Rhinolophus ferrumequinum: one gene and its partners. The protein of the gene in region 3 purifies or fractionates together with the protein of the main gene of each other region. This does not show direct contact. Links are inferred from orthologs where the notes say so. Each region holds a gene or a part of one and is shown on either strand. Other genes may lie near its edges. The genes, in order: JUN, RPA1, PARP1 and TOP2A.

Region 1 (7,907 bases), on a different chromosome or scaffold from region 3:
TGTTCACTTCCAGGCACATAGTAGGATTGCACTTTCTGGCATTCTGTAAGAAAGACATGGTCACGTGACTAGTTTATGACCAATAATATGTAAACACCAGTAATAAGACTCATTTCAGAGAGGAAGCTTTTAAAATCAGTGTGACTGCACTGTGCTTTCTTCCCCATTGAAGTGTTGGGAATGACTGTGGAAGCATATATCAAGATGAAACCTTCTGCAGACTCAGTTTCTGAGTGAGTACATGAAGCAAAGCCCCTTTGACTTTGAACATGTACTACAAACAAGAAATAAAGATTTTTGTTAAGCCACTAAGATTTTAGGATTGTTTGTTAATGGTGGCAAACCTAGTCTATCCTGACTGATGTAAGAATTGGCACCTAGATGTGGGGTAATGTAATGGCAACAGTAAAAGTAAACATCCATTTAGAGGGCAGTAACTAAGAGCACTGTTATCAGAAGCTAAAAGGACAGTGATCTATTTGGTGAATATATCACCTGTGACAATTTAGAAGGCGTGTCATGAACCTAATCAACTTAAAGTGAGAGACTAAAACAAAATGTTAGTAGAACGTGTTGGTGGCTGTTGGATGCATTTGGAAACTTATTATAAAAAAAAAAAGAGATGAGCTCAGAGAAGACTTGGCCGGTTTGCCAACAAGAATGAAAGAGAGTAGGGACAATCTAGAAATTCAGAGATTTGTAGGGTTAGAAGAGGCTAAGTTGTTTCTCAGTCTCAACTAGTAAAATATATAACTAAAAAATGTTTTCAGCAAGAAAAGGCAAGTTAAAATTAGCCTTGAAGTATGGATCAAGTCAAGGTATGGCCTCAAGCTTATTTATTGTTCAAACCTCTTGACAAATAAAGGTGTTACCGAGCTATGTTTTCAATTAAACAAAATGGCTCTAGAAAAGAAAGGAAAAGTGTGACTCTCACACCAAAGCTCAATAAACCCAAAGTACTCAAAACCAAGCTGGGGAGCAGGGGAATGAATATGAGAGATTGAGAGATTGAGAGAGACAGAGAGAGAGAAAGAGAGAGAGAGAGAGAGGTATTAGCAGGCAGGAGAACGAGAAAGCTAAGAAATGTGGCAAACCACAGGACTATGTCTAGAAAAGAATTGGCTCTGGCTATTGGTACATGGAATGGCTAGAATCAAACAGATAAGAAGCCTACATTTATGTGAGAGTTGTACTGCCAAAAGAACATCAGCCTGGATTAAAGGAGACTGTATTTGAGACTTAACATGACTCTGTACCCTCCCCCCGCCAATTTTTGAAAGCTTATTTAGAAATATATTTCCCAATGCCTGCTTTAGATATAGAAGAGGAAGACTCTCTCAGAGGGCAAAGCCAGGGGTCATGGGAAAGAATGGACGGGGCAGCTACACTCGGGGAGCAGAATCAGGGCCTAACTGGGGTGATGGGTAGGGGGTCCTCAGTGGATTAGTGTCTACTGTGGTCTCCCATCCCTCCACTTCCACGTGATGTATGCACGGCAGTGTATCCTGCCTCAGTCCCACCATTACATATTGAAGGTGTGCAGGGTAGACACCTTGCTTTTAGTTGATAAGTCCTATCTGGAGCTGATATAATGTCTACTACGCATCACTCAGAACCTGGAAAGGAAGCTTGATAGACTGTGACTAGATGGGTCTTTAGCGTTGTCTCCCTTGAGGAAAGGATGAGGGAACTCTGCCTGTGAGAGGACACTAAGCCAAACAGTTGGGGAACCGAAAGGGAGACTGCTCGAGTCATTAGTGTGGTTCCCCAAATCTTCCTAGCTCTCTTGGTTCAAGATACTTGGTAGGATTACAGAGATTTCAAGTTAGGCATGGCCACGGGACTTGCTTTGGCTAATGATACAGAAGTACTGTGTGTCACTTCCAGGTGGATGCTCTGAGAGCCAGTCAATGATTTCCCGCCGTCTCTCCCCGCAGCCAAGGTAATAGTAATACGCAGGTGTCGAGATGAAGCCCTCTTCAACTGGAGTCCTTGAGTGACCACCGTGAACAGAACTCCCCCATAGACCCACAGTGGGCATGTAGCATCAGCAAGAAATAAACTTCCGTGGGATAAGACACTGAGACATTAGGGTCGTGTGTGAGGGCAGCATAGCCCAGCCTTTCCTAACTGGTACAGGGAGAGAGAGGTGAGGCCTGAGAGCAGGAGCTAGACTGTGAAAAGCTCCTTCTCCCAGGCAAAGGTGTCTAAACTCTCTCCTGGTTGTAAGGGGACGGCAGTGAAGGCTTCCAAGCAGGGGCGTTAACTTTTAAACAGATCTGTTATTTTTTGGATGAAATATGCTACTTCTCAACATAAGGAGAAAATCAGCCTACTAAACCACATAAGGCAGAGAGGAACACACAGAACCCTTAGGCAAAGATATATATATTTATACAAAGTCCTAATCTTGAATTTTCTAAATACAGGAGCTCTGAAAGGAAGCTCTGAAAGGAGTTACAGCGGCGCAGGCAAGGCAATTTCTTCTGTCCCACCATCGAAGTGCCATTTCCGCTGCAGACAATATGTTACAAGAAAATCTCCCAGAGCAGAGAAGATACGAGGGAATGTAACACAGACCTGAGGTCAATTTCCAGCTGCCTGTGTGACCTGAGCAAGATACTTAACCTCTCTGGGCCTAGTCCCTCATATGTTAAATCTGGTTAATAATAAACATAGCTCTAGATAGTTGTGGGGAGAAACAGCATATTTAAATTGCTCTGGCAAATGCCTGGCTGATAATAGGCATTTAATACATGAAATTTATTTTTATTACTCTCATAAAAATTAAGAACACCAGCTCCTTGATTACAGACGAAAATGATTTAGGGTAACAGTATAGAGAATACTCCCTCCCTGAGGAAAGTAACTGGATCTTGTCATCACTGTATTCTAACCCCACCCCTACCCCCCACCCCAGCTCAGTGCCTGCCTCACAGTAGCCACTCAGTTTTCCTCTGCTGCATGACTGAATGAGAGGTGAGTGCCTGGAGTAAAGAAAAGTTGTCAAGATTTCCCTGCCACTAGCTACTGTTGGGCTGTTGAATTTTAACCCTCAAAGCCAAAAAGACCATCAGACTCTGGGCTCTAAACGCGTAAGCTGAATTCCCCGAAGTTCTGAAGTTGAGAAGCCCGAATTAGAACCTAGGGACCTAAACTGCTGCAGGTCCAACTTCAAGCCTCAGTCACGGGCAAAAGGCCCAGGAAAGGGCTGCCTTCGACCCTTTCCTCCCTCACTCCCCTTCCTTCGATGCTCCTCACAGGAGTTTTTACACCTGTTCCTGTCAAGTCACACTCTTACATCCTGGCATTCCAGGGAGGCTCTGGGAAACTCGGGGAAGGAGGCTGTTTGGTGACTACTTCCTAGCCCTGAAGGTGATGATACTACCCTAACTCTGCCCAGTGAGGTGGTTTTCACCGCCCCGCCCCCCAGCCTCCCGCACCCCCGCCGCAGATAAAGGAACTGAAAAGCTCATAGAAGTTCGGTGACTTGCTCACTTCACACCATGGCAGCGTTGGCCACGACAGAACCCACGATTCCCGACTTCGGTGTTCTTTCCACCACACACTTTTGTCCCTAAGGGGGATGGGGGTGGGGGGAGATAACAAGAGCCACCAAAAAAAAAAAAAAAAAAAAAAAAAAAAAGGAACCACTTACATGTGTCTAGCGCTTCCTAGAGGCTACACAGGATATAGGCCCAGCTCCCGGGCCAGAGCCGTGAGATTTTAAATCCTGCTTCTATCCGACTCCTCGCTGCGTGACTTTTGGCGAGTGTCCTCTCGGACTTGTTTCCCCGGAAGCAAATCACGGCGGGAGGAGTGTGAATGTCTGTGCGTGTGTGTGTATTCGTGTGATGTGTGGTGTGCGAGTTCTTGTACGGGGGCAGAGAGTAGACGATCGCCGGGGTTCCCCGAGTTTCGGATTCCCTAAACGCTTGTTCTCAACTGGACTGAGTTGCCCCCTAATTGCACCCCTTATTAAAAAAAAAATACAAAAACCCTCCCCTCCGAGACGAAGCTATGACCTCGCACCCTTTCTCCCATCGTCGGGAGGGTGAAGTGGGGGTGCCCTGAGGAATTAGCTGATCACCAGTCTCGAGCAATGCAAATCACTCGGCTTCTAGGCGCAGCCAGACAGCCCGGCGGACGGTCGCTGGTGAACTTGACCAGGAGACAAACTTCCGAGCGTACTCAACGTGGGGGGGCTGACTCTCGGAGACTGCCCCTAAACTTAAGCCCACTTTCACTTGCCCCCACGGGGGACTTAACAGAGCCACCTTAAGGGCGGTGCTCCCGCCCCCCGGAAGTGCGGGGGAGGGAAAAACCCGAGCTGTAGACCTCCCGGCCCCGCGAGGCGGCGAAACGCCGGTGGATGCTATCCAGCACCCACGAAGTGGGGAAATACCACCCGTCTCGCACCCTCGGCCCCAGACACCCGGCCAGGTTCCCCAGCCCTCCGAGTCCCCGCGTCTTCTGCATTCCGCCCCGAGACCCGAACTTGTGCCCGCTTCCATCAGAAGATGCGAGCGCCCGCGTCGGCCGGGCTCGCAGTGGCCACCGTCACTAGACAGTCAAGCCCCAAGACGTCAGCCCACAATGCACCGGGCGGGCCGGGAAAGACGCGCCGGGGAGGGAGAAGAGAGGGGCGCGAGGCGCGCGGGAGGGGGCGGGGGAGGAGGAGAAAGAAGGGCCCAACTGTAGGAGGGCAACAGAGCATTACCTCATCCCGTGAGCCTCCGCGGGTCCGGAGAAGAATCTTCTAGGGTGGGGTCTCCATGGCGACGGGCGGGCCCGCCCCCTTGAGAGCGACGCAAGCCAATGGGAAGGCCTTGGGGTGACATCATGGGCTATTTTTAGGGGTTGACTGGTAGCAGATAAGTGTTGAGCTCGGGCTGGATAAGGGCTCAGAGTTGCACTGAGTGTGGCTGTATCAGCGAGGCGGGAGTGGAGGCGCGCGGACTCAGGGAGACAGGACAGCAGTAGAGTCCGAACTGCAAATCTGATTTTCTTTTCCATTTTCTCACCAAGTGCCCAGAGCTAGCGCCTGTGGTTCCCGGGCTGGTGTTTTGGGAGAGCGTCCGAAGAGCCCCCTCTCCAGCCGACCCAAGAGGAGAACCCCACTGCCCGGGCGCCGCTGACAGCGCGGAGGGCGGCGACTGTCCCCTGGAGAAGTCTGGCGAGCCGCTGTAGCGGCAAAGAACTTTCCTGGCCCCGAGGACAAGGGACAAGTAGCCCCTGAGTCCCGGACCGAACTTTTGCAAAGCTTTCCTCCGCTCCAAGCTGCCGCGGCGGCGGTAAAGAAAAAGCGACGGAGAGAGGAGAGCGAGGAGGGACGTGCGCTCGCACCGGTTGCTGAACTTGGGCGAGCGCGAGCCTCGGCCGCCGGGCGCCCCCTCCCCCTCGCAGCGGAGGAGGGGACAGTCGTAGGAGTCCGGGCGGCGGAGACCCGCCGCTGACCGGCCACTGCGGGGTCCGCGCTGAGTGCCGCCGCCAGGAGAGCGGCTGTCGCCGGGAAGCGAGTGAGTCCGCGGGCTCCGAGGAGCCGCTGCGCAGAGGAGCGCTCAGTGAGTGACCGCGACTTTTTAAAGCCGGCAGCGCGCGAGAGCCGACAAGTAAGAGTGCGGGCGGCGTCTTAACCCTGCGTTCCCTGGAGCGCGCTGGTGAGGAGGGCGCAAGGGGGAGGACAGCTAGCGGGTGCGCGCGCTATTAGATAAACTTTCCTTGCTGAAGGCCGGGCAGGCGCGGGTGTCCCCCGCTTGCCAGCGAGCTGTTGCGGCCCCGAAACTTCTGCGCGCAGCCCAAACTAACCCCACGTGAAGTGACGGACTGTTCTATGACTGCAAAGATGGAAACGACCTTCTATGACGATGCCCTCAACGCCTCGTTCCTCCAGTCCGAGAGCGGCGCCTACGGTTACAGTAACCCCAAGATCCTCAAACAGAGCATGACCCTGAACCTGGCCGACCCGGTGGGCAGCCTGAAGCCGCACCTCCGGGCCAAGAACTCGGACCTCCTCACCTCGCCGGACGTGGGGCTGCTCAAACTGGCGTCGCCGGAGCTGGAGCGCCTGATAATCCAGTCCAGCAATGGGCACATCACCACCACGCCGACCCCCACCCAGTTCCTGTGCCCCAAGAACGTGACGGACGAGCAGGAGGGCTTCGCGGAGGGCTTCGTGCGCGCCCTGGCCGAACTGCACAGCCAGAACACACTGCCCAGCGTCACGTCCGCGGCGCAGCCTGTCAGCGGGGCGGGCATGGTGGCTCCCGCGGTGGCGTCCGTGGCGGGCGGCAGCGGCAGCAGCGGCTTCAGCGCCAGCCTCCATAACGAGCCGCCGGTCTACGCCAACCTCAGCAACTTCAACCCGGGCGCGCTGAGTAGCGGCGGCGGGGCGCCCTCCTACGGCGCGGCCGGCCTGGCCTTTCCCGCGCAGCCCCAGCAGCAGCAGCAGCCACCACAGCCGCCGCACCACCTGCCCCAGCAGATCCCCGTGCAGCACCCGCGGCTGCAGGCCCTGAAGGAGGAGCCGCAGACGGTGCCCGAGATGCCCGGGGAAACGCCTCCCCTGTCACCCATCGACATGGAGTCCCAGGAGCGAATCAAGGCGGAGAGAAAGCGCATGAGGAACCGCATCGCTGCCTCCAAGTGCCGGAAAAGGAAGCTGGAGAGGATCGCCCGGCTGGAGGAAAAAGTGAAAACCTTGAAAGCGCAGAACTCAGAGCTGGCGTCCACGGCCAATATGCTCAGGGAACAGGTGGCACAGCTTAAACAGAAAGTCATGAACCACGTTAACAGTGGGTGCCAACTCATGCTAACACAGCAGTTGCAAACGTTTTGAGGAGAGACTGTCGGGGGCTGAGGGGCAACGGAGAAAAAAAAAATGAGAGAGAGACAGACTTGAGAACTTGACAAGTTGTGAGAGAGAGAAAAAAGAAGTGTCGGAGGACTAAAGCCAAGGGTATCCAAGTTGGACTGGGTTGCGTCCTGACGGCGCCCCCAGTGTGCACGAGTGGGAAGGACTTGGCGCGCCCTCCCTTGGCGTGTAGCCAGGGAACGGCCGCCTGCGGGCTGCCCCGCTTTATGGACGGGCTGTCCCAGCGCAAACAGAACGTTAGACTTTACTTTAACATTGACCAAGAACTGCATGGACCTAACATTCGATCTCATTCAGTATTACAAGGGGGGAGGGGGAGGGGTTACAAACTGCAATAGAGACTGTAGATTGCTTCTGTAGTACTCCTTAAGAATACAAAGGGGGGAGGGGTTAGGGGAGGGGTGGCGGGAGGGAGGTTTGTGAGAGCGAGGCTGAGCCGACAGATGAACTTTCTGGCCTGCCTTCCTTAACTGTGTATGTACATATATATTTTTTTTTAATTTGATGAAAGCTGATTATTGTCAATAAACAGCTTCATGCCTTTGTAAGTTATTTCATGTTTGTTTGTTTGGGTGTCCTGCCCAGTGTTATTTGTAAATAAGAGATTTGGAGCACTCTGAGTTTACCATTTGTAATAAAGTATATAATTTTTTTATGTTTTGTTTCTGAAAATTCCAGAAAGGATATTTAAGAAAATAAAATATTGAAAAAGTACCCCTCCCCCAACCTCTTTTCTGCATTATCTATAGATTACCTATCTGGATGGAGTGGAAAGAGTTAAGAGTGTCCATTGAAATCACTCTCAGGGCTGCTTACTATCAAGCAGTAAAAACTATTCTCTACTGGGCATGAGAAATAACTGGAGCTGATGCTCTCACCAAGTTATACACTTCCCTCCCTCATTATCTATATAGAGTTGCTTACAAAGGGTAGTGTGGACCTTGAGGAGGCTGAGGGAAGGAGGGTTGTGGTGAAGAGGGATTGCCCACTGGGAAGTCCAACACTTTAAAGTTTGGATTAGAGCAAGTGGCAT
Region 2 (6,833 bases), on a different chromosome or scaffold from region 3:
CCACCAAAAAAACTATTAGAACTGATAAACAAATTTAGTAAAGTAGGATACAAAATTAATATTCAGAAATCGGTTGCATTTTTATACACCAATAACGAATTATAAGAGAAATTAAGAAAACAATCCCATTTACAATTGCATCAAAAAAATATTTAGGAATAAATTTAACCAAGGAAGTAAAAGACCTATACTCAGAAAATTATAAGACATTAAAGAGAGACATTAAAGAAGATACAAATAAATGGAAATATATACCATGCTCATGGATAGGAACAATTAATATAGTTAAAATGTCCATATTACTCAAAACAATATATAGATTCAACACAATCCCTATCAAAATACGAATGAAATTTTTCACAGAACTAGAACAAATAAACCTAAAATTTATATGAAACTATAAAAGACCCCGAATAGCCATGGCAATCCTGAGAAATAAGAACAAAGCGGGAAGTATCATGATACCTATATCAAAGTATACTACAAGGCTATAGAAATCAAAACAGCATGGTATTGGCATAAAAACAGACACATAGATCAATAGAACAGAAGAGAGAGCCCAGAAATAAATCCATGCCTATATGGTCATTTACTCTATGACAAAGAAAGCAAGAATTTACATTGGGGTAAAGACAGTCTATTTAATAAATGGTGCTGGGATAACTGGACAGATATATGCAAAAAAAATAAACTGGACCACCTTCTTCTGCCATATACAAGAATAAACTCAAAATGGATTAAACACTTAAATGTAAGACCCCAAACCATAAAACTGTTAGAAGAAAGTATAGGAAGTCAGACATTACCTTTAGTAATATTTTACTGATATATCTCCTCGGGCAAAGAAACCAAAGAAAAAATAAACAAATGGGACTACATCAAACTAAAAAGTTTTTTCCCAGCAAAGGAAACCATTAACAAAACAAAAAGACATCCTATTGAATGGGGGAAGATATTTGCCAATGATACACCTGATAAGGGGTTAATATCCAAAATTTATTTAAAAAACTCATACAATTCAACACCAAAAAACCAAACAATCCAATTGAAAAATGGGCAAAGGACATGAAGAAACATTTCTTCATAGAGGACATACAGATGGCCAATAGACACATGAAAAGATGTTCAACATAACTAATCATCAGAGAAATGCAAATAAAAACCACAATGAGATACCACCTCACTCCTATCTGAAAAGCTATCATCAATAAATTAACAAACAACAAGTGCTGGCGAGGATGTGGAGAATAATGGAACTCTGTGCACTGTTAGTGCGATTGCAAATTGGTGCAGCCATTATGGAAAACAGTATGGAGGTTCCTCAAAAAATTAAAAATAGAACTACTTTATGACCCCACAGTTCCACTCCTGGGTATTTATCCAAAGAAATTCAAAACACTAATTCAAAAAATATATGTGCACCCCTATGTTTACTGCAGTGCTATTCACAATAGCCAAGATATGGAAACAACCCAAATGACCATCAGTAGATGACTAGATAGAGAAATTGTGGTACATTTATACAATGGAGTACTACTCGACCATAAAAAAGAACAAAATCTTTCCATTTTCAACAACATGGATGGACCAAGAGGATATTAGTCTAAATGAAATAAGTCAGACTGAGAAAGACAAATATCATATGATCTCAATCATATGTGGAATCTAAAGAACAGAATACACGAGCAAACAAAACAGAAGTAGACTCAGAGATACAGAGAAAAAAAACTGATGGTTGCTACTAGATGGGAGGGGGTAGGAGGGAGAAGGTGAAGGGATTAGAAAGTACAAACCGGTAGTCACAAAGTAGTCACGGGGATGTGAACTACAGTACGGAGAATATAATCAGTAATGTAAAGATTATGTAGGGTGTCAGATGGGTACTGGAATTATCAGGGGGATCACTTCATAGATTGTGTAGATGCCTGATCACTGCACTGTACACCTGAAGCTGATGTAGAGTAATACTGAATGTCAACTATAATTAAATGTATATATATATAGTCACAGAATGTAAAGTACAGCATAGGGAATACAGTCAATGGTATTGCAATGGCTATGTATGATGTCAGAGGGGTAGTAGACTTGTTGGGGTTATCACTTTGTGAGGGGTATAAATGTCTAATCATGTTGTTTTGTACATCTGAAACTCATGAAAAATAAATAAAAATAAATAAAATAAATAAAATAGGGTTACTTGACCACACAAAAAAATTAAAATGACAAAATGCTTTATGCAAAAAACAAAATAAACTTAAAATCTTTCCATCAAAATGAGATATAACTTGAGAGCAAATGACAAAAGGGAACATTTTCCAGATTAAAATTTCCCTGGTTAAAGCTTTCATTAACTTACTGAAGAAGCGAAGAGGTGTGAAGAAAGACATCGCTCAAAGTCTCTGCTGTAGAAATTGTGACCTGAATGGACTTTGGGAGCAAAGCCCACTTCTGAAATAGGTATGATTTCCACTCATCTACGGGCAGATCCATGCTACTTTAAGTCTACAAAATGAATAAGAAAGTAAGGAATTTAGATTTCTACAAATGCACAATTTTTGAAAATCCAGATTTCATTCCAGCAAGCATGAAGCAACATAATCAATTCTTGTGCTCTTTTTCTATAGTTGTTTACATGCTGAAGAAGGATCTATATTTTCTCCAATTCACTCAACATTCTTTCATTCAGAGATTATTTATTGAAAACCTACTTTGTTCCAGGCACCACGCTAGGTGAATTGACAGCCACCATCCTTGTTCTCTTAGAACTCCATCTACCCTAGTTGCTCAAGTCAGAAACCTTAAGAGACCTCCCAGATTCTTCTTTCTCACTCTCCCCAGCAACTATTAACAAATATTTATATCTCTTACAGAGTTCAGTTTTTTTTTCAATCCCCAGGTCATTCTTTTAATTCAAGCCTTCACCATGTCTTGTCTGGCATTCTTTCCAGCCTGTCGTAACTAATCTCCATACCCTCAGTCCCCCCCCACCCCAATTTAATCCTTCTGCATTCAGACAGATGTCAGTACTCTGCCTTAACTTCATCAATGCTCCTCCTAGCATTTAGGAAAGCCCCATAGAAACCCTTCATTATTTGACCCTTGGCTTACTAATGTTCAAGTCTCACCTCCTCTGTAGGTAACTACTATCCTGAGCTATTCAATGCCATCCCCAGCTTGCCAGGCTATTCATCACTCCAGTTTTTGCATAGGCTATTCATTTTTCCAGGTTCATCCCTGCCCTCACTTGGAGTCCACCAAGCAAATTTCCACACATCCGTCAAGACTCAGTTCAAATGACACCTCCTCCGGGAAGCCTTTTCTGATTTTACATCAGTGTGATTCCAGCATACTTTGTCTCTCTCCTGGGGCCCATACCATGTCTACCTTGAGTTAGGGCTACTTACAGCGGAAGCTCCCGCGACAGCCTATGTTCTTTTCTGAGGGCAGGAACCAGGTTTTATTTACCTTCAGAAAGTGTGCTAAGCTCAGGATCAAGTCACTGCTTTGACTACATTTAGCAGCAGGGTTATCAGGGAGCAGCTCTAACTCTCCTCTGGGCTACCAGTCGAGCCGGGTATGTTTCCGAGAGCCCGCTCGCCAAGATCCCGGAACTGTTCCACTCGCTTCATTTAGCGGCGCTCGCGTCAACCTTGGCGCGTCCCGTAGCCTGGCTCTGTGCCCTCAGATCCCGCCATCCGGCGACTAGGCCTGAAGTTAGGCTTGGGAGGGTCACGTGGTCGTCCGCCGCGCCTCGGCCAATGCGGTGGCTGCTCAGCCCCTAGACCCGCCCCTGTGCCGTGTAAACGACAAGAGGCGGAAGTGGCGTACTCAGCTCCTCGGGCCAATTGCCTTAGAGCGCGCCGTACTCCGCGGGTGAAGCCTGGGCAGCAGCGCAGCCGAAGCGCGGGAGTTGTTGCGGCGGAGCCATGGTGGGCCACCTGAGCGAAGGGGCCATTGCGGTGAGGAGATGCCTGCGAGCTGGGCCGGAGGGCCGGAGTGGTTGTGGGCTCTGGGGCTGTGCGGATTGGAGAAGGGGAAGAAGAGCTGGAGGCGAGAGGGAAGAGAAAAGGAAAGGAGGAGATAGCGGGAATGGGTGGGGGGGAACCGCCGGGTGGACTCCCTAGAATCATCACCCTTTCTTGAAAGGATTTTTCCCATCGTCTTTTAAACATGCTTACGTTTTCCTGCTTAAGAACACGAAACAAAATAAACTGTTGACTCCCCCCATCTCCTGAGACTATTCTCTGTCTCCTTCCCTCCCCCCCCACCCACAGCCAAATTTCTCCAGAATTGTCTGTTTTCAGCTATTTCATTTCCGATTTCACAGAGAAAGTGTTTGAGCCTTCAAGCCCAGGTAGTCCATCTGACCCCGTGCCCTGGTCTGCTTGTCTGTCTCCTGCACTAGGCTGTCAGCGCATTGAGGTCAGAGACCTGTCTTGCTTTCTGTATCCCCAGTGCTTGGCACAGAGTAGACACTCAATACATGTTGAATTCATGAAAGCCAACGCTCACCAAACATAAACACTAGATGGGGTATTCTAAAGAGCCACACTTCTTGCAAAACTGCTAAAATGCAAAGGGATATTGCTCTTTTAGCTAAATCATGGCTGTTTAGAATTCTGGTTGTTTCAGAACTTTCTTATAGGTGCTGCAGAGTTGTGGGGTGTGGCTGACTGCAGTACATAGAGGACATACGGGTTTGCCACGCTCTCTGAGGCAATGAGAAATCGCTCCAATGAAACCAAAACCATATCTGCCATTTTAAAAACAATTAGAAAGAACTAAGCAGGGGCACAGAAAAGAGCATTTCTTAGTTGATTCTGGAGAAATGAACCTGAGCCTTGTCCACAGTGGCAGCAGGACTTGGAATGTCCGGGCACAGCTGAAAGGACGACTTCTGAGAGCCACTGGAGTTGCACAACCGCCCTCCATCAACCCATTAACCCACTTTAATCAGTCACCCCCATGATCACTGTAGAAATAACTAGGGCTGAAATTCACAGTGCCTCCAAGTGGCTAAATCCAACAGATGCTTCAATTTTCAATTTATCAGAGTGCTCAGCAGCATTTGAGTCTTGAGCATTGCTTCCTTCTGGTGACAATCTCTTCTTTGCGCTTCTGTGGCGCAGCTTGGCTGGTTTTCACATCCTATTTACAGGTTTCTCTTTGTAAATGTTTGTTGACTCAAGGCTCTCTTCCAAGACAACCTCATTACCATCTCTATGTTACTTGCTCACAAGTTTCTTTGTCCGGAGTCACCTTTTACTCTGAAAGACAAAACTCTAATTTATCCTACCTGATACCTCAAAGTCATTTAAATTTCAACATGTCCCAAATCAGAACTATCTTTCTGAATCTGGGCCGCTTGGTATTCTCTATCTGGGTGAATTGCACTATTATCCATTAAGTTATGCTAGCCAGAAATTGAGCAATTGAGGACTCATTCTTCCTGTGTCACCCTGAATGTTCAGGATACATGTTTACTTGCACATGTATCTCTTAACTCCATCTACTTCCCTCCATCCTCGCTGGCACCATCATTTTTTGCCTGGATCACTCACTGCCACTCAGCATACCCTCCTCCTGCTATTTCCATTATAGCATATTCTCAACTTGTTCTCTCTTCCTTTCCAGTCCTTTTTCTCTTTAAATTCCTGGTTTATTCTATACCCTTGCCTTCCACAGGGTTTTGATCATTCTTTTCCCTCTGCCTACTGCCCAGGTGGTTTTTCACTCTCATAGGCTAACAGTCTTCACATCTCAGTTCAGTTGTTAACTTCCCATGCTAGGTGAAATCCAGTTATTTTGAGACCCAAATTTCTCTGAGTTCACTTATCAACTCTGTGACTTTGGGCAAGATGTTAAACTTGGCCTTTCCTCTTCTGTAAAATAGGGTAATAATATCTAATACCTATTGGATAGTGGGAGGATTAAGGGAGTTCTTACATTTAAAGTGCTTAGCCCATGCCAGATACATAGCGACTGCTCAGCATGTTAATTACCTATTGATAATCACAGATGTAAGCTTACATTTATTTGTTGTTGATTTGATTAATATCAGGTACTTTCTGTCTCCACCACTGGACTACATTTTTTTTAGGTCTGAAATGATGTCTGTTTGTTTTTTTTTTTTTTTTTTGCTCAGCATGGTACCTTGAATACCTGGGGCAGTGCTGGCAAGTTTTAGGTGCCCAATAAACGTTTGCTAGTTGCATATGAGGCGGTGAAAAGAAAGGGACAGAGATGAATGGGGAAGAAAGGGAGCTTGGGGGAAACAGGAAGGGGAAGAACAGTTGGCGGAATGAATGGATATTTTAATAAATTAGGAATAATTAGACCTGGGAAGTAATTGCAAATTGTCATCATTTACTTTATAGCTGCTTTTCAGACAAATTATGGGAGTAGGAAAAAAATTAGGAACAGCTCTTCACTTTAAAAAAAATGAATGATTATGAGGTTTTTGCTATATTCAAGATTTTAGAAACATATTTCTAGTGTCAGATAAAGTATTACTTCGGTTTTATTCATAAATGACAAAGAAAAGTTTTGCCTATGTTTGTGGTGACAGATTGTAGAGGACCTTTGTCAACTTTGATTATTAGCTAAAGCAAATAATATCATTTTAGTTTAAAAGACACAGGCCCTAATGGGCAAACAACTAACACACAAATAGCAGAGGCATTGTGGGCAAGAGCTAACACAAAGTAAGAGAGAATGCATGGGACTATTGTGATAAATAGAACGAACAGCTTTTATATTGTAAGTAACTGGGTAATATAAAGAAAGGCAAAGGAAGTAATGTTTTCGACCATTTCCAATGTGCCAGATACTTT
Region 3 (7,243 bases):
TCAAAGATTTCCAGGTTAGATGGGAAAGCCAGCTGTGTGAGCAGGTTATTATAAAACAGGATTCGGCGTATGGCTGACGAGAGTCCGTAAGTTTGGACTAGGCTCTGTGCAGCTTTGAGAGAAGCCCTCTCTGGTCATGTCACGAGGGTGTAGTCCTCAGTTGTGGAGTAGGGCCTTGCCCCTCGTGCCCTATCTGTGGTATAATCCAGGTGACAAGCCTGTCTTGGGTATACCTGGCTTCCTGAGTGTGAATCATCATGGGCTTGCTCACTGCCTCTTCTATCCCTGTCCACACTTTCCTCTCACAATCAGAGAGTGCCTCTTTCCAGAACACTAGCCTTGGACTCATAATGGCCACGATTGCCCCAAAGACGCCAAGCCTCAGACTGCTGGGAGAGGGGTACGGTTCCAGCACAACTGTGGCCTCCATTTTGAACTAAACAAGTAGAATCTCCTTGTCATTCCGTCTTCCACCCTGGGTCCCATGATGGCTTCGTACTCAAGGTGCTCGCTCCTTCAGCGCCAACCGCACATCTTCCTTTTGCACAAGGCTTAGGAGACAGTCTTCCAGGTGAGGGGGGAGCCCTTTAGTCATCCATGTAGCCACACTTAAGGCAGGCACTGCTTCAGGCCTCAGGGACGCAGCCCTGCCCGCGGGCCGCCTGCTTCCTGGAGTTGTCACATGTTAACAGAATAAGACTGCAGCATCTTACATTCGTCCTCATACTCGAAGTAATGTGGTTTGGTTTTGTGGTCACAGGCTGCAGGTATTATGTAATCAGAAAAGAACGGGCTGCTGTTTAATTGTGTGTTTTTTTAAAAGAAAAACAAGAAAAGGAGGGCAAGGCAATTTGTGGTGGAGGCAGTCATGGAAACTGAGCCTTCTCTGCCTCTCATCTGCACAGACCCCTGACTTCAACCGCCCACCACAGTCTCCATCACGCACGCGCATTTTTTTCCTCTAGTCTCACTCTGGTGATAAACCAGGCAACATAATGTATGGTAAAGAACATTTGGAAGTTAAGAGCAAAGAGAGAAGTAAAGTAAGATATGTTTACAACATTAAAAAAAACAAAAACCTACAAAGCTTAGAGTAAATATGGTGGGGAATATTTTTAAATGGGCAAAAGGGTAGAACAGGAAATTCACAGAAGGACTTGAAATAACCAGTGAAATATAAAAACAAACAAAGTATAATATACATACAAAATCTGAAGACTATGGCCAAAGCTTAACTCAGGATAAAGTATATAGCCTTAAACTCACATTGGGAAAAAATAAAAAATAAATGACAACTTAGGGACGGAAGTGGAGGTAGATGATGAAGTAGAACTTTCATCTTTTGTTCTGTATGCTTTTGTCTTATCTAAAACAGCTCTGCCCAAAAGAAATACAATGCAAGATACATACGTCACTTTGAATTTTTATTAGCTACATTTAAAAAGTAAAAAGAAACATAAAATTAATTTAAATAATATATTTGATTTTTTCTTTCTTATCTGTCAAGCATTCAACCTCCTTAGGCAAAATCATTCCTTTTAAAGAAAAAAGTGAAATGTAAAGCTGTATGTGATTTGTGTTTAAACTTTTTTTGGGGGGGGTGGGAGGAGTATTGTTACCAAGTAATTCTTTAGACAACCCTGTCCTGGTGGTATTCTCAACAGCTGTCAACCTCGCCCGGTACACTATGTGGATTGTAAACTGGCGTGAGAATTCAAAGCAGGTTTTTGTTGGTGCATAGTACAAATTAGTTCTATATGGGCATGGTATTTTTTTCATCTTCAGTTGTCTCTCATGCAGCTTCTATGAAATAATTGTTGTTCTTTTAATTGAATGCCACTCTGTAATTGGGGCGGGGACAGGATTATAGCTGTGATGTGGACAGTCTGAATGCTTCTAAGTAATTATAATCATTTTTTTTTAAAAAAAAGTAGCGTTGTAATGAGGAGCAAACAAATATTTATGAAAGCCCTTTGTTAAATATGAAAATCTATTTAAGTGTGAAGTAACATTATTATTAAAGAGTTGAGCTGTGTAGAGGAAGTGCCAACTGTGGGATTTATTCATTCATTCAAAGAAGTATTTTTGAGGGCTTAGCACTACTCATATTCTAGGCTCTGAGGATATTACAATGAGCAAAACAGACAAAAACCCCAGTTCTGCTAGAGGGAGTCTGACAATAAACATATACGTATGTATAAAATATGCTATGAGGAGTAATAAGTATAAAGAATAATATAAAACAGAGCAAGTAGAGGTGGCGTGCACACACTAAGCATATTAGCTGGGGTGGTCACACTAATACTATGTGAGCAGAAACTAAATGAAGAGAGGAAGTGAGCCATGTGCTTGCTAGGTGAAGACTGTTCCAGAAAAGTAAATACAAAGGCTCTGAGGTGGGACTGGGTTTGGGGTGTTTGAGGGACAGGCAAGAAGCCAGTGTTGCTGGAACAGCGGGAGCCTTGGGGAGAGGATGACCGTGAAGTCAAAGAAGTGGCCAGAGCTCCCATTCAGCCACAGGGAGAACTTTGGATTTTATTGTAAGTGTGATGAGAAGCCTTTGGAGGGTTTTCAAAATGGTAACGCAGGTTGAGATCTAAAGCAACCTCACATGGAGAGGGAAGACTAGGAGGGCTGGCATGGAAGGAGGCCACAGGATACTGTCTCAGAACCACAAAAGATGATGGTGGCATTGACAGCCGTGCTGACGGGAAGGTGGTAAGACACTATGGAAGTCAGGATTCAGAGATGAATTGGATGTTGGACAGAAGAGAAAAGGAGTCAAGTTGATTCCAGGAGTTTGACCTAAGCAATGCAGAGAACCATGAACCATTCCCTGAGACGAGAAACAGTGGAGGAGGTTTTGGACATCATTGGGGAAGAATATAAGACATCCAAATAAAAATATTGAGAAGGCAGTTGGGTATCGCTCGCTCTCCTTAGGGGTCTAGGGCAGGAATCCTTAACCTTGGTGTGTGTGCTCAGGACCCCCTTGTCTGTCCAATGAAGTCTATGGTCCTCTAATGCAATGGTAGCTTCCAGATACAGTATCAGGCAAACTGTGTCAGAAGTCACAAAACAGAAAGCCTCCCAGACCAGATTAAGATGCCTGAATTACACGGATTATTACATCAGTTCGAAACACCTGATTTAAACCTCCTGCGGCGAGGGGAATAACGTGGGGCAGAAAACACACATAGGACAGGACAGAGGCAAGGTGGAAGGACCACACCATGGAAACACCAAGTTATGCAATGTTCATAAGTTTTCTCTCTGCTGCATCAGCCAGCCCCACTGATGGTAGGGTTACAAAGACCAGAGCTGAGGATGCTCGAGGCTACTCAACAGAGTACTGAAGCCAACTCACAGTCACCTGTCAGAGAGACACAAGGAGAAGTATGCCTGGCCACAGATGTAGCTCACCAATCAGCTTGCAGAACACACACGGGTTTTATCTGCTGTTTTGGGGCGGAGCATATGGGAGCCAGAATCAGACCATAATATTACCACCAAGGAGAGGCCCAGAAGTCAAATGATCAGATTATCCTCTAAGCAAAATTCTTTTATTTGTTCCATCCTGTATTCCCCTTATTGTATTTACCTTCAACATATCTAACAGGTCACTTACCGTATTTAGGGTTCTTGCCTATGTCTCACAACATAATTGCCTACGTCAGTATCATGTCTCTTAAGCTACTAACTTTCTTCTTCTCTATGCTTAACATGTCTTACGAGTTTCATTCATCCTGTTTTTTCTTGTCCTCTACAGCACACCCCATTATGTTTTAAATGAATAGAACAAAATGTATAGGATTAAAAAAGGACGCAGTTATATAATATAGTTCTATAACAAAAAAATAACAAAATCTAAATAAAAATCTAGTAGCAACCGATCTTCTGACTATTGCAATTTCAAGTAGTGATGAGTTTCACAATTATTGAGTTGTTTCCAACAACTGTAAAGTGACGCGCTCATTGAAAGGGAATGAAGGTAGAATTAGTTGGGAGAGTATGTAAGCCTCCCAGGGGACAAAATGGTTAATGAGGTGGCGTCCGGTCCTTCCCATAGGTGCACAGGCGGTACCAGCCCAGGCTCTGCCGGCAGCAGCAGCCAGCTGAGCTCGCGCAGCCGCAGGCGCGGGGCAAGAACCGCCCGCCGCGGTCGGCAGAGGGCGCGCGTGCGGGCGGCCCCGCCCCTTAAACGCGTGCGCCGGGGGCGTTCCCGCCACCAGGCATCAGCAATCTATCCGCGAGCGGCGGGTGGTCGGCGCGGCGTGTTCGGCGACGGCTCTGGGTGCTCGGGCTCCTGCAGAGAGCAGACTGACGGACGGACGCACGCACGCACGCACGCACGCGCGGGGTGGAGAGGCGGTGGCAGCGGGTCTCCAGGGGGCGGCGTCGGGCTCCCGGAGCTGCAGCAGCACGAGGAGTACGATGGCGGAGTCCTCGGACAAGCTCTACCGGGTCGAGTATGCGAAGAGCGGGCGCGCCTCCTGCAAGAAATGCAGCGAGAGCATCCCCAAGGACTCGCTCCGTATGGCCATCATGGTGCAGGTGCGGGCGGGAGGGCCGCTTTGTGCGCGGCGGGGCTTCCGTCTCCGGGAGGAGTGGGGGAGGGCTTGCCCGGAGCAGCGGGCCGGGCCGGTCCCTCGGACCCTTGGCGAGGCCTGTAGGCGCTGCTGCTGCTCGTCCAGCGTGTGGCCCACGGGGCGGACCCTCCGGAAGATTTCGCTGATCTTGCAGGAAAAGCCCGGGAAATACAGTCTGGAACTGGTGGTGCCTTTTGTTTTGTAAAAATAAGGAACCGCTTCTATTACCGTTAGTCTCTGGCGGAAAAAAATGTGTGCGTGGCCTTTTGAGGCTCTTCTGATTTTGACCTAGCTTGTTCTGGAAGATTTTTGCTCTGCATTGATGGCGGCCACTGACATGGGAGGATTTTTTTTTTTAAAAAAAACGCCTATTTTGGGCTATCATTTCAACAGTCGCTCACCCTCATTTTTAAAAGTTATGCAAAACTATGCAATTCTGTGTCATAATCTGTACAGTGCATTCACTTTCTGCCCGATTTGTGGTTTAAAATAACATTTCCCCCAACTTCCTCGCTTCATAGTTGCATCTCTTGATGCATTTGCAGCTTATGGGGTTTGAGTAAGTGGCTTGGTGTTGGGGGGGGGTTCCTCTTCGGGACTTATTGACAGATTGGGGATCCCCGTCCGGGGTTTCCTAAGGCTTGGGAGATGCCCGTGGGTGCTGGGAGTCCTCTATGAGACGGTGTGTTTGTAGGCCCTTGCCAAGGGGGTGCCTGACTCCTCCAGCTTCCAGTTGGCTCCTGTTTGCTTGGGTGGTCTTGGTTCTCACCTGCCCTGTCTCCCCATCTCCAACATAAAGCTGTCTGTTGTCCCACCTTAGTGTTCACGGTCAAGGTAACTTGACTTTTCCCCCCATGGTGAGGCAGAAATGTGTTTTAGGAATGAGGGGAGCGCCTTCACCGGATTTTCAATAGTACTTAAAAATTGAAGGGGTGGAGGGGAGTGGGTGCCAAGGTTATCTCATTTCGTGATGTGGCAGGAATTGGGGCTGTCATCTTGTTATCTTCGGCACCTGGCACATAGTACTTACTCATTCAATAAACACTAGGAGGTTCCAGGCTCCATGTCGGGTACTAGGGGCACTCCATCCCAGGGAGCTTCCTGTTTGGTTAAAGGGAAGATGACTGGTAAACATTGCTCTCCAGGGGTGGATGTCACCTGATGGAGCTGTGCCCTAGGCATTGTTTGCCCATCTTGGGAGCTTGGTTAGGAGTCTATTCCCAGAAGTGGCAGGAAATCAAGGTTGGAATAGCAGACAAGGCCTGCCAACTGAATTGCCACATCTCCCACGAAGCATCTTTGAGCCTCGCTGGGGCCCGGGATGTGAATAGAAGGTCTAGTGAGTTTAGAGAACAAATTTACATCTCAATCGTCACTAACCTCTAGATAAAAGTCATTACCTCCCATTATGAGTGTAAGCCACAAAGGCATCTTAGTAGTACTTGTGATTTTTGTCACCAATGGTAATTACAGATATTTTCATATCACTTTACATTGGTTGGGGGATTTCTCTACATATCATTTACCATTTATGCTCATCACTGCTTCAAAATTACAGTAGCTATGAGAGTGAGTATTAGATCTTGTTACTTAATGCTTTCAAGCTCATGAGTTACTGTTTCACTATAAACTTTTAAGAAACTGTTTTGGAAATTATTTCAATATAATTGGTTTTCTTTGTGAGCCTCTGTCTTTTGTCACGTGTTTTTAAATGTTTTTCTGAGAAAGGGACATCCATAGTCTTCCCCCGGCAGCCACAGAAGACCCTGTTTTGTGGAGGACGGACAGAAACCTAAGTAGCCAGTGTGATGAGGCAGGGACACAGAGGAGGGAGAACTCTGTCTGGGGGAGTCTGGGGTGGCTCCATTGAGGAATCAACTTCTGAACCTAATGAAGTTTAACTGGGGCCTCTTTCAGCATACTTGACAGTGAAGGAAATTATTGTGACAAGTAAGTTTGGTTTTCTGTAATTGTAATTAGGAAGTGGAGTTTTAATTCTGGCGGTAAAGTTGGTCTTGTAGACTGAGCTGGTGGGGGCCAAAAAGAAAGAAGCTTTTCTTCTACCACTTGGATTTAAAAACCTTGTTTTACATTTGTATGGGAGGATTGTTCTCCACATAGTATCGAATACCTGAAACTTTAGCTGGTGTGCCCTGGGGCAGCCTTGAGGGGAGGAACAGGGAAAAGGGTGTGGGGTCCATTGTATTCTGTCTGGGGGGGTTTGAAACACACTGCATGGTCACTTTTGAGGCCACACATGGTGTGGTAACTGAGGGTCATTCTGTGCTCTCCCTGGGATGGATGGGCAGTGAAGAGTGGCTGGCTGCGGCCCCGGGGAGGGGTAGCTGCTCAGTGTGTGGAGTACACAACGATTCTGCCGCTGGCTCCTGCCACGCAGCTGCCAAGTGGAAACCATCCTCTTGTGATCTTGGTCTAGTTCCCTTCCTGCCATACCATTTGCAGTTCTGAGTTCTCGGGTCAAGCCTTGCTTTGGCCAAGGGTTCTGCCCTCTTTGAGGGAGACGGGGGCCCTTACAGCCCGCCCCTCCCCCGCAAGCTTGTGCTGTGAGTATGCTCTTGGATGGCCCCTCTCATGTGCCTAGCACTGCATGGGTAGTTGGAAACAGCATCCAGACCGAGGTTGAAGGGGCAGGT
Region 4 (7,238 bases), on a different chromosome or scaffold from region 3:
AAAAGCCCAGGCAGGCTTTCTCCTCTAGCAGGTTCTAGCTCATCTCGTGAGAACAGGACGAACTACCTGCTCCAAATGACAGTCTTCTCTGTTCTCTGTAAATTCCCACTTTTCTGCTCATGTAGCTTCTTTTCTTTCATGATCAACAGGGAGGAAAGAGAAACATGTAGGCAGCACTTAGCTGCAGGCCTTTCAGGAATACCATCTTTGTCTTTAATTACAAACAGAAGGGCATAGCTTTTTATTTCCTTTTGGTGAATAACTTGCTCCTAACTCCACTCCACCACTTACCAATCTTCCTGGTCTCTGACATCAACTGTGAGGGGGCCCTGGAAGTACCAGCAGGGGGGACAACTATCAGATTAGTATCAGACAGAAGACACCCCCGAGATGTCCTTTTTTATTCCTCTTCCTACGTGGAGAATTCTAACCCAGAGTTCTTCAGTGATGACCTTCTCTGTTCCAGAGTGCCGTAAAACGTACCAGGAATGAGTATTCAGGTAGCCTGCCCATCAAGACACACAATCCAGTCCAGCTCTGCCTCCCCTTCTCGTGTGAGAAGCCAAGAGAGCAGAGGCCCAGCCCTGGCCTCTGTTGTCAGAGAGGAAGTCCTCCCTATCCCACTCCCTTGACCACTTCCACTCTGTGGGTTATAGAGGAAGGATGTGAGGAGCTGGAGAATCTGGGGGTGAGGGAGAAGGGAGGGGTTCATGGCTGTGTTTGTCCAGGTTTTGCTGACCAAGCCTCCAGGAGGCAAAGATGCCAAGTCCAAATGCCAGTTCCACCTGCTGCCATTAGTAGCCACAGGTGCTAGAGATAGGTAACCAGGAGGTCTTGGGACCCTGGCAGAGATTTAAGGTTACATCAGCCATGCTACTAGGCCAGGAGGCAAGGGGTAGGGGTGTCACATAGGGAGTGGAAAGAATCAGAGACCATGCTTCACCTCCCTGACACCATGCCCCAGCCCCAGTGGGCTTGAGCTCGTTCCTATGCAGCTCTGGGCTGGGCACTGGCAGGGAAGGGGAAGCCAAGATAACGGCATACCCTGATTTCAACCAACTCAATTCACAGGGGTTTTTCTAAATATAAGTAATGGATTGCCATTTTTACACAGAACAGAATTCTTACACGTAAAAAGATGAAAGTGGAGCTGCTCTGGGTTGGAGAATCTGGGCCCATCCCACCCCCTCTCTAGACTCTGTGGAAGGCGTTTTGCAACCCACTCCTCTAGCTGGGCTACCTAGACTTCAGTGTACAGGTGGGGAAACTGAGACCTAGAGACAGGAGGAGATTTACCCAAGGTCATGAGACTAGTGACAGCAGAACTGGGCGAGGACTTCCCACCACAATACTCTGTCCCTCAATTTGGCGCAAAGGTTGAGATTTCCTACTGAGTCCTCACCACTGGGTTTACTTAAACTGCGAGTTCCCCCAGTATGTTGAGACTCTATCTCTATCTACAAAATTCACATTCTCACACAAACTTGTATAGACAGATAGGCCTTCAGTGAGGTGAGGAAAAGGGTCGGGGGTGAAAAGGGTATAGGGAGTATATGAAAACAAACACTTAGAAAGTCACATGTTGGCAAAGGGTCATGAACACCGAGAATTATCAGGGCCCACAATTACAGAAGAAAATCTTTTAAATTTTGTTTAAGCTAACTTTTTACATTATAAAAATAAGACATGTCTACAATTTTTAAATGATCAAATAGGATAGAAAGGAAAATATGAAAAGTGTTCCTCCCCCTCCAGTTATTTACGATTCCTTCCAGATGTTTTCAACGCACACATAAACATTTACCTAAATGGGATTATGTTCTAATTCTTTCCTTCACTTTTTAAAAACTTAATATGTCTTAGTGATATTTCCATATCAGTACACCTAGATCAACTTCCATTAGATAGCTGCCAGTTCTTTTCTAATAAAAACAATATTGCAATAAATAATCTTGTACATGTATCTTTGCACAATTGCAGACACCTGGAATTCCCTCTTTATGGACAATACATCCCAGGCCCACCTGTCCTGGACTTTTCAGTGGACCCCCACAAGTCTTGCAGGGCCCCTGTGAGAGGCTCTAGGAAGGAGGCAGGCTGACAGAAATAGCTTATGTCCAGAAGAGAAGTGGGGGTTCTTTCATGATCAAGAGAAGAAATTTCTGTGCTAGAGGGCTGGAGAAGGATTGTCCGAGGTGCTTCCATATGTCATTTAGCCCTTTGTACTTTTGATAAAGGATAATGATATGGGGAAACTGAGGCTCAGAGCGATTTCTGACTCATGCATGTGTGACTCCAAAGTCCTTTAGACTCCACAGTTCTGCTTCCAGGTTTTTGGAACAGGATCAGGCTAAACTGCAGGGCAGATTTAAAGGTGGGTCCCAGAAAATAGGGCTAGAGCTGCTTATTAAATTCCTGGGTACTGCAGGCTAGGATGAGCAACAGGGTGGAGGCAAGAGGGACAGAGGCTGGACTGCTATCCTAGGGGAAGCATGGCCACCCACCCCTACCACTTTGGAGCTCTGTGTTCCAGGAGGTAGAAGGCAGCATGGCTGGTCTCTGTCAGGGTCCTCCTCTGTCCTGGGGAAGCTGTAGGCAGTGACATGAGAAGACCTGTTCAACCTCTGGGTGGGCAGAAGCTACAGGATGGGCTTCCCCACAACTGCTCTGAGACCCTGGTGGTCCTGTGCATGGACGTTGCCTTTCTGATCAACACATATAGTGAGCAGAGTGAAGCTGAGAACACTTGGGAACTACGGGAGGCCAGGAGACCAGAGGAAGGGACCAGCGCCATGCCGAAGCAGCCTTCCTTCGGCTTTCCCAATCACTCTAGCCCAGTGGGCTACTTCCATCCCGGACTTCACGTCCTACCACACCCCCTCCGCATTGGCCCTCCCTGGAGAGCTCTGCCAACAGGCTGGGCATCAAATATGCCTGGGTGATTTAACAATTGGTTGGCCCTCTGGTTCTTTTAGAAGAAAAAAAATTAAATCCACAAATTGTCATGCCAGCCTAAGGAAAATTCCTGCTTCCTGATTCAGATACTGTTAGCCTACTATCCTAAACATGTATCTCGCGTAATCTTCACACAACGCTGAGGTAATACTATTATTTTTATTTCCCTTTTTCAGCAGAAGAAATGAAAGCGACTGAGAAGCTGCCTCCCTCAAGATGACACAACTGTCAAATTGTCCAGCCAGGACTGAAACTCAGGGAAGGAGCTGGGTCAGATGGAATCAGTAGCCATGCAAATTGTGCACTCCTTAATTTTTCTAGCATCTTGTAAGGGCAACAACATTGTTTTGGTCATTTTAACATTGTGAATTGATGAGGAAAAAAGAAAGCCACTCAAGAAAAACTTCAATCTGGCATTTCCTCATCAAACCTGAACAGCTGTTTTGGACTGCAGAATTCAGGGAACTTAACAGGGAGCAAAAGTCACGAGGGTATCCTACTGGCAGTCTGAACCCCAAAAAAACTCAGTACTAGAATGGGCCCCTAAGCCATCCTCAGCTCCTGAGGCGGTAACTATAAATTACCCCAGTGGCAGCCTAAAGCCCCTCTCCTGGGGGACTCGAAGGCTATTTCGCGCGGCCTCTCTACATTTTTCTATTATATGAAAACGAAAACCCACAACTGTAGCACTTTCGTTTCTTTGAAAATAAATTCTTGGAGGGGAGGGGAGAGGAGATTGAGGCAGACGTCAGAACCTGTGTTCGCTTAATCAAATCGCCGCCAGGCTTCCTGTACACAAAGCCAGCCAGCACTGTTTCTTCAGGAAAATGGAGCTAGGACTCTCGTTCTTCTCGCTAAAAAACCTTGGGACACAGGATCGTTTTTAGCTTTCAGGGATCTGAAATAAATTAGCAGTTCCTGGGGAATGAAACCTTTTCTTTCCTCTTTTTATGCCAGTCTGCACCTCAGAAATCCCCCTCCTACCTCCACCGCGCGGTCCACCGAGTTTTCTGCACTGCGAAGACAAACGAGCCCTCCTCATTGGCCAGATTCCCTGTCGATCCCTCCGCTACGACCCAAAGTGGTGTCGTTTGAAAACCCTCTAGTCCCGTCTCCCTTGCCTAATTGGTTCATTCGAACAGGCGTTCCTTGGAGAACATAAAAGACCAGCTACGATTGGTTCTTCAGGACGGAACCGGTGAGAGCGAATCAGGGATTGGTTTACCTCGTTTCGGCGGGCTAGAGGGAAGTTCAAATTGGACTGGAGTTGCTCTCCCAACCGACCAGCGTCTGTGGAGAAGCGGCTTGTCCTGTGATAATCTCGTGGGTCCCGCCGGTTTAGTCTCTTGCAGGGTTCTCGAGCCTTTTCACGACCGTCACCATGGAGGTGTCACCACTGCAGGTACAACTCGCGAAATGGGCGAGTCGTGGAGCCTTAGCGCGGCCCGATATCTCTGGTTGCTAGTGAGGGAGTGAAGCTCCTGGGCTTCGCGGTCGTCCGGCCGCGGCGGCCTGGGAGCCTGTATTCCGTGTGGACCCGGGTCTCCTGGGTTCGGCGTGATCGTGACGAGGGTGAAACTCTTTATGGTGGTAATATTGAAGTGTTATGGACTAAATTGGCTTCTAGGGTGTTGTGTTTTGTTTTACTGTTTCTAGGGACAGGAAGCAACTGGTCCTATCGTAGATCTGTACTATAATGGTCCACTTGTGACTAAACAACGCCTCCTGATGCTTTCCTCTGCTATCCTCCTGCTGAATATGGAATTGAATGTCCTTGACCTTGGAAGGTGCAGAGCAAGGCACAGTGTTCCCAATGAGCCGGCAGGCCCTAGTTGCTCAAAATACGTCCTTCTGTGTTCACAACGTTAACGTGGCCAAGGGATTGAATCGATAGCCTCCCAAACTGCTGCTGCTGAACTAGAATCTACTATGTGCCTGGGACACAGTAGGCACATAGTAGATGGAGTAGATGAATAAGTGGGTGTATTTTATTGATGACATCTAAAGCCCTTAAGGAAAATATTTCCATACCAGATACATTTAGTGAGATGAGATGTATGTCCATTTAAAATGTAACCTGGGTACCTGGCTGCAGTTAACTTAAATTGCCACGTTTGTACAAAACGATGTAAACTCCACCAATACTCATTAAAGATGGCGATTTGTTATAGTGTTTAAGCATATCATAAAGGTAGACGTTTTGTTTATAGTTTCTGATAAACCTATGATTAAAGTTCCCTTTGCTTCAAATGTTTTTAAATTGCTAGCCTGTAAACGAAAATATGCAAATGAACAAAACAAAGAAAAATGAAGATGCTAAGAAAAGACTATCTATTGAAAGAATCTATCAAAAGAAAACGCAATTGGAACATATTCTGCTCCGTCCGGACACCTATATTGGCTCTGTGGAATTAGTGACCCAGGTAAAACAAGCTAATTAAATGCAGTTACTAAGTAGTTAAAATGTGTGTTTTTCCAGGTTAATTTTCTATACTTCATGTACTTTGAGTGTCACTGGCACTGGCCTAGTCTATTTTATATGAATATATATATTCCAGAAAACTTATTCCAGTAATCATGATGATAAAACAGAATAAATATAGGGTAAAAATAACTGCATCTCTTTGCCTTATTTCTAGCAAATGTGGGTTTATGATGAAGATATTGGCATGAATTTCAGGGAAGTCACTTTTGTTCCTGGTTTGTACAAAATCTTTGATGAAATTCTAGGTAAGTAAATTCTTTCACATAAAGATCTTCTGGTCAAATCCTTCATAAGAAGTATATAATTCCTAGCAAACCCTATGTAGCCAGAGCTGTCATTTCAAACAATAGTTGGCAAAGGTGAGACAGTGAAGTTGAATTCTTAACTAGAAACAGTACTGTGAATAAAAATTGCTGAATTAACACCTCATTAATGCTACTGCGTTTGAGATTTTTGCTTTCTAAGAGTTAAAGATTTTTTTTATAAATACTTCAATTTCTTACAAATGTGTATTTTCTTTCAGTCAATGCTGCAGACAATAAACAAAGGGATCCAAAAATGTCTTGTATTAGAGTCACAATTGACCCGTAAGTCTCTTGCTTAGTCTTTTGTTTGTTATAGTTCATTGTTCTGTTAGTTGCATTTACTTAGATTTATAGTGAAGTTGGCTTTCTTAAAATGAAAGTTTGCAAAAACACAGAAAGGCAGAATGCTAAAATGAACAATCTATGATACCTACCACCTAGATCCAGCAGTTATCAACACTTTGCCATATTTGCTTCAGCTATATTTTTTCTGAAGCATTTGAAAATAAATTACAGACATTATGGCACTTCATCCCTAAATAGTTCAGTAAGCATCTCCAACAATTGCTCAAAGTATTCTGCAATCTAGAGCTTTTTTTCATATGATGCTATTCAAATAGTAAACCAGAAGGTGGTGATAGAGATCTAACATTTCTGGTTATAAATGATCCCTTTGTGGGTGGTCAGGATGCTTGTTTCACCTTTTTATTAGCCTAATCAAAGTCCAAATAAATTTTTAGTATTTTATTGGCAAGCAAAGAAGTTTACAAATGATGTTTTTCCCTTTCACATTTGTTTTGCAATGAGCTTTGTTGGGTGGAAAAGGCTAAGAGAGCTAGGACAGTACAGAAGATCCTCTCAAAAGCAGTGTAATACTGTTTCCAAATTATGTTCTTTTCTTTCCATTGAGCATAAATCATTTCCCTTTGTTTATTTTAACATTTTAAAATTTCATGTTTTTTTCAACATTATCAGTGTCTGCCCAGGTGTTGGAAAAGGTTTCATTTTTTTTTTTCCTCTTGGCTCCTATTTTAGGAGTGTCAGGAACTAAGCATGGTGGGAAAGGTAGTTCATGCTGAATTTCAGAGGGTATATATGAAAAAGAATCATAAAGAAATTGAGACTTTGCTGGGTAGAGAAATCTTGGTTGTAGGCCCTTGCTTTTCATCACTTTGAATATTTCATGCCAATCCCTACTGGCCTGCAAAGTTTCTGTTGAGAAATCAACTTCGTCTATGGGAGCCCCCTTGTAGGTAACTAACTGCTTTTCCCTTGCTGGTTTGAAAATTCTCTTTGTCTTTAACCTTTGGCATCTTAATATGATGTGTCTTAGTGTTGGCCTCTGGGTTCATCTTGTTTGGGACGCTGTGCTTTCTAGGCTCGTAAGTCTTTCCTTCACCAGGTTAGGGAAGTTTTCCATCATTTTTTCAAACAGGTTTTCAATTCCTTGCTCTCCCTTCTGCAACAACATGGATGAACTAGAGGGTATTATG

What was found.
Region 1: the proteins of PARP1 (region 3) and JUN purify together in Homo sapiens (co-immunoprecipitation; 3 studies listed by BioGRID and IntAct, with this or other methods). This does not show direct contact. The link is inferred for Rhinolophus ferrumequinum from reciprocal best matches to the Homo sapiens genes PARP1 and JUN.
Region 2: the proteins of PARP1 (region 3) and RPA1 purify together in Homo sapiens (affinity purification with mass spectrometry; 3 studies listed by BioGRID, with this or other methods). This does not show direct contact. The link is inferred for Rhinolophus ferrumequinum from reciprocal best matches to the Homo sapiens genes PARP1 and RPA1.
Region 4: the proteins of PARP1 (region 3) and TOP2A purify together in Homo sapiens (co-immunoprecipitation; 3 studies listed by BioGRID and IntAct, with this or other methods). This does not show direct contact. The link is inferred for Rhinolophus ferrumequinum from reciprocal best matches to the Homo sapiens genes PARP1 and TOP2A.

The regions. Positions count from the first base shown.
Region 1 is NC_046292.1:42,541,715-42,549,621, reverse strand, and holds JUN (transcription factor Jun), read left to right. Parts: upstream 1-4,907; 5' UTR 4,908-5,833; coding exon 5,834-6,838; 3' UTR 6,839-7,426; downstream 7,427-7,907. UniProt on the Homo sapiens protein: Transcription factor that recognizes and binds to the AP-1 consensus motif 5'-TGA[GC]TCA-3'.
Region 2 is NC_046304.1:16,154,702-16,161,534, reverse strand, and holds the start of RPA1 (replication protein A 70 kDa DNA-binding subunit), read left to right. Parts: upstream 1-3,823; 5' UTR 3,824-3,926; coding exon 3,927-3,959; intron 3,960-6,833. Other genes in the region: SMYD4 (SET and MYND domain-containing protein 4), read right to left, coding at 2,357-2,490. UniProt on the Homo sapiens protein: As part of the heterotrimeric replication protein A complex (RPA/RP-A), binds and stabilizes single-stranded DNA intermediates that form during DNA replication or upon DNA stress.
Region 3 is NC_046310.1:14,339,840-14,347,082, reverse strand, and holds the start of PARP1 (poly [ADP-ribose] polymerase 1), read left to right. Parts: upstream 1-4,232; 5' UTR 4,233-4,434; coding exon 4,435-4,554; intron 4,555-7,243. UniProt on the Homo sapiens protein: Poly-ADP-ribosyltransferase that mediates poly-ADP-ribosylation of proteins and plays a key role in DNA repair.
Region 4 is NC_046304.1:36,816,664-36,823,901, reverse strand, and holds the start of TOP2A (DNA topoisomerase 2-alpha), read left to right. Parts: upstream 1-4,216; 5' UTR 4,217-4,336; coding exon 4,337-4,357; intron 4,358-5,222; coding exon 5,223-5,378; intron 5,379-5,594; coding exon 5,595-5,685; intron 5,686-5,963; coding exon 5,964-6,027; intron 6,028-7,238. UniProt on the Homo sapiens protein: Key decatenating enzyme that alters DNA topology by binding to two double-stranded DNA molecules, generating a double-stranded break in one of the strands, passing the intact strand through the broken strand, and religating the broken strand.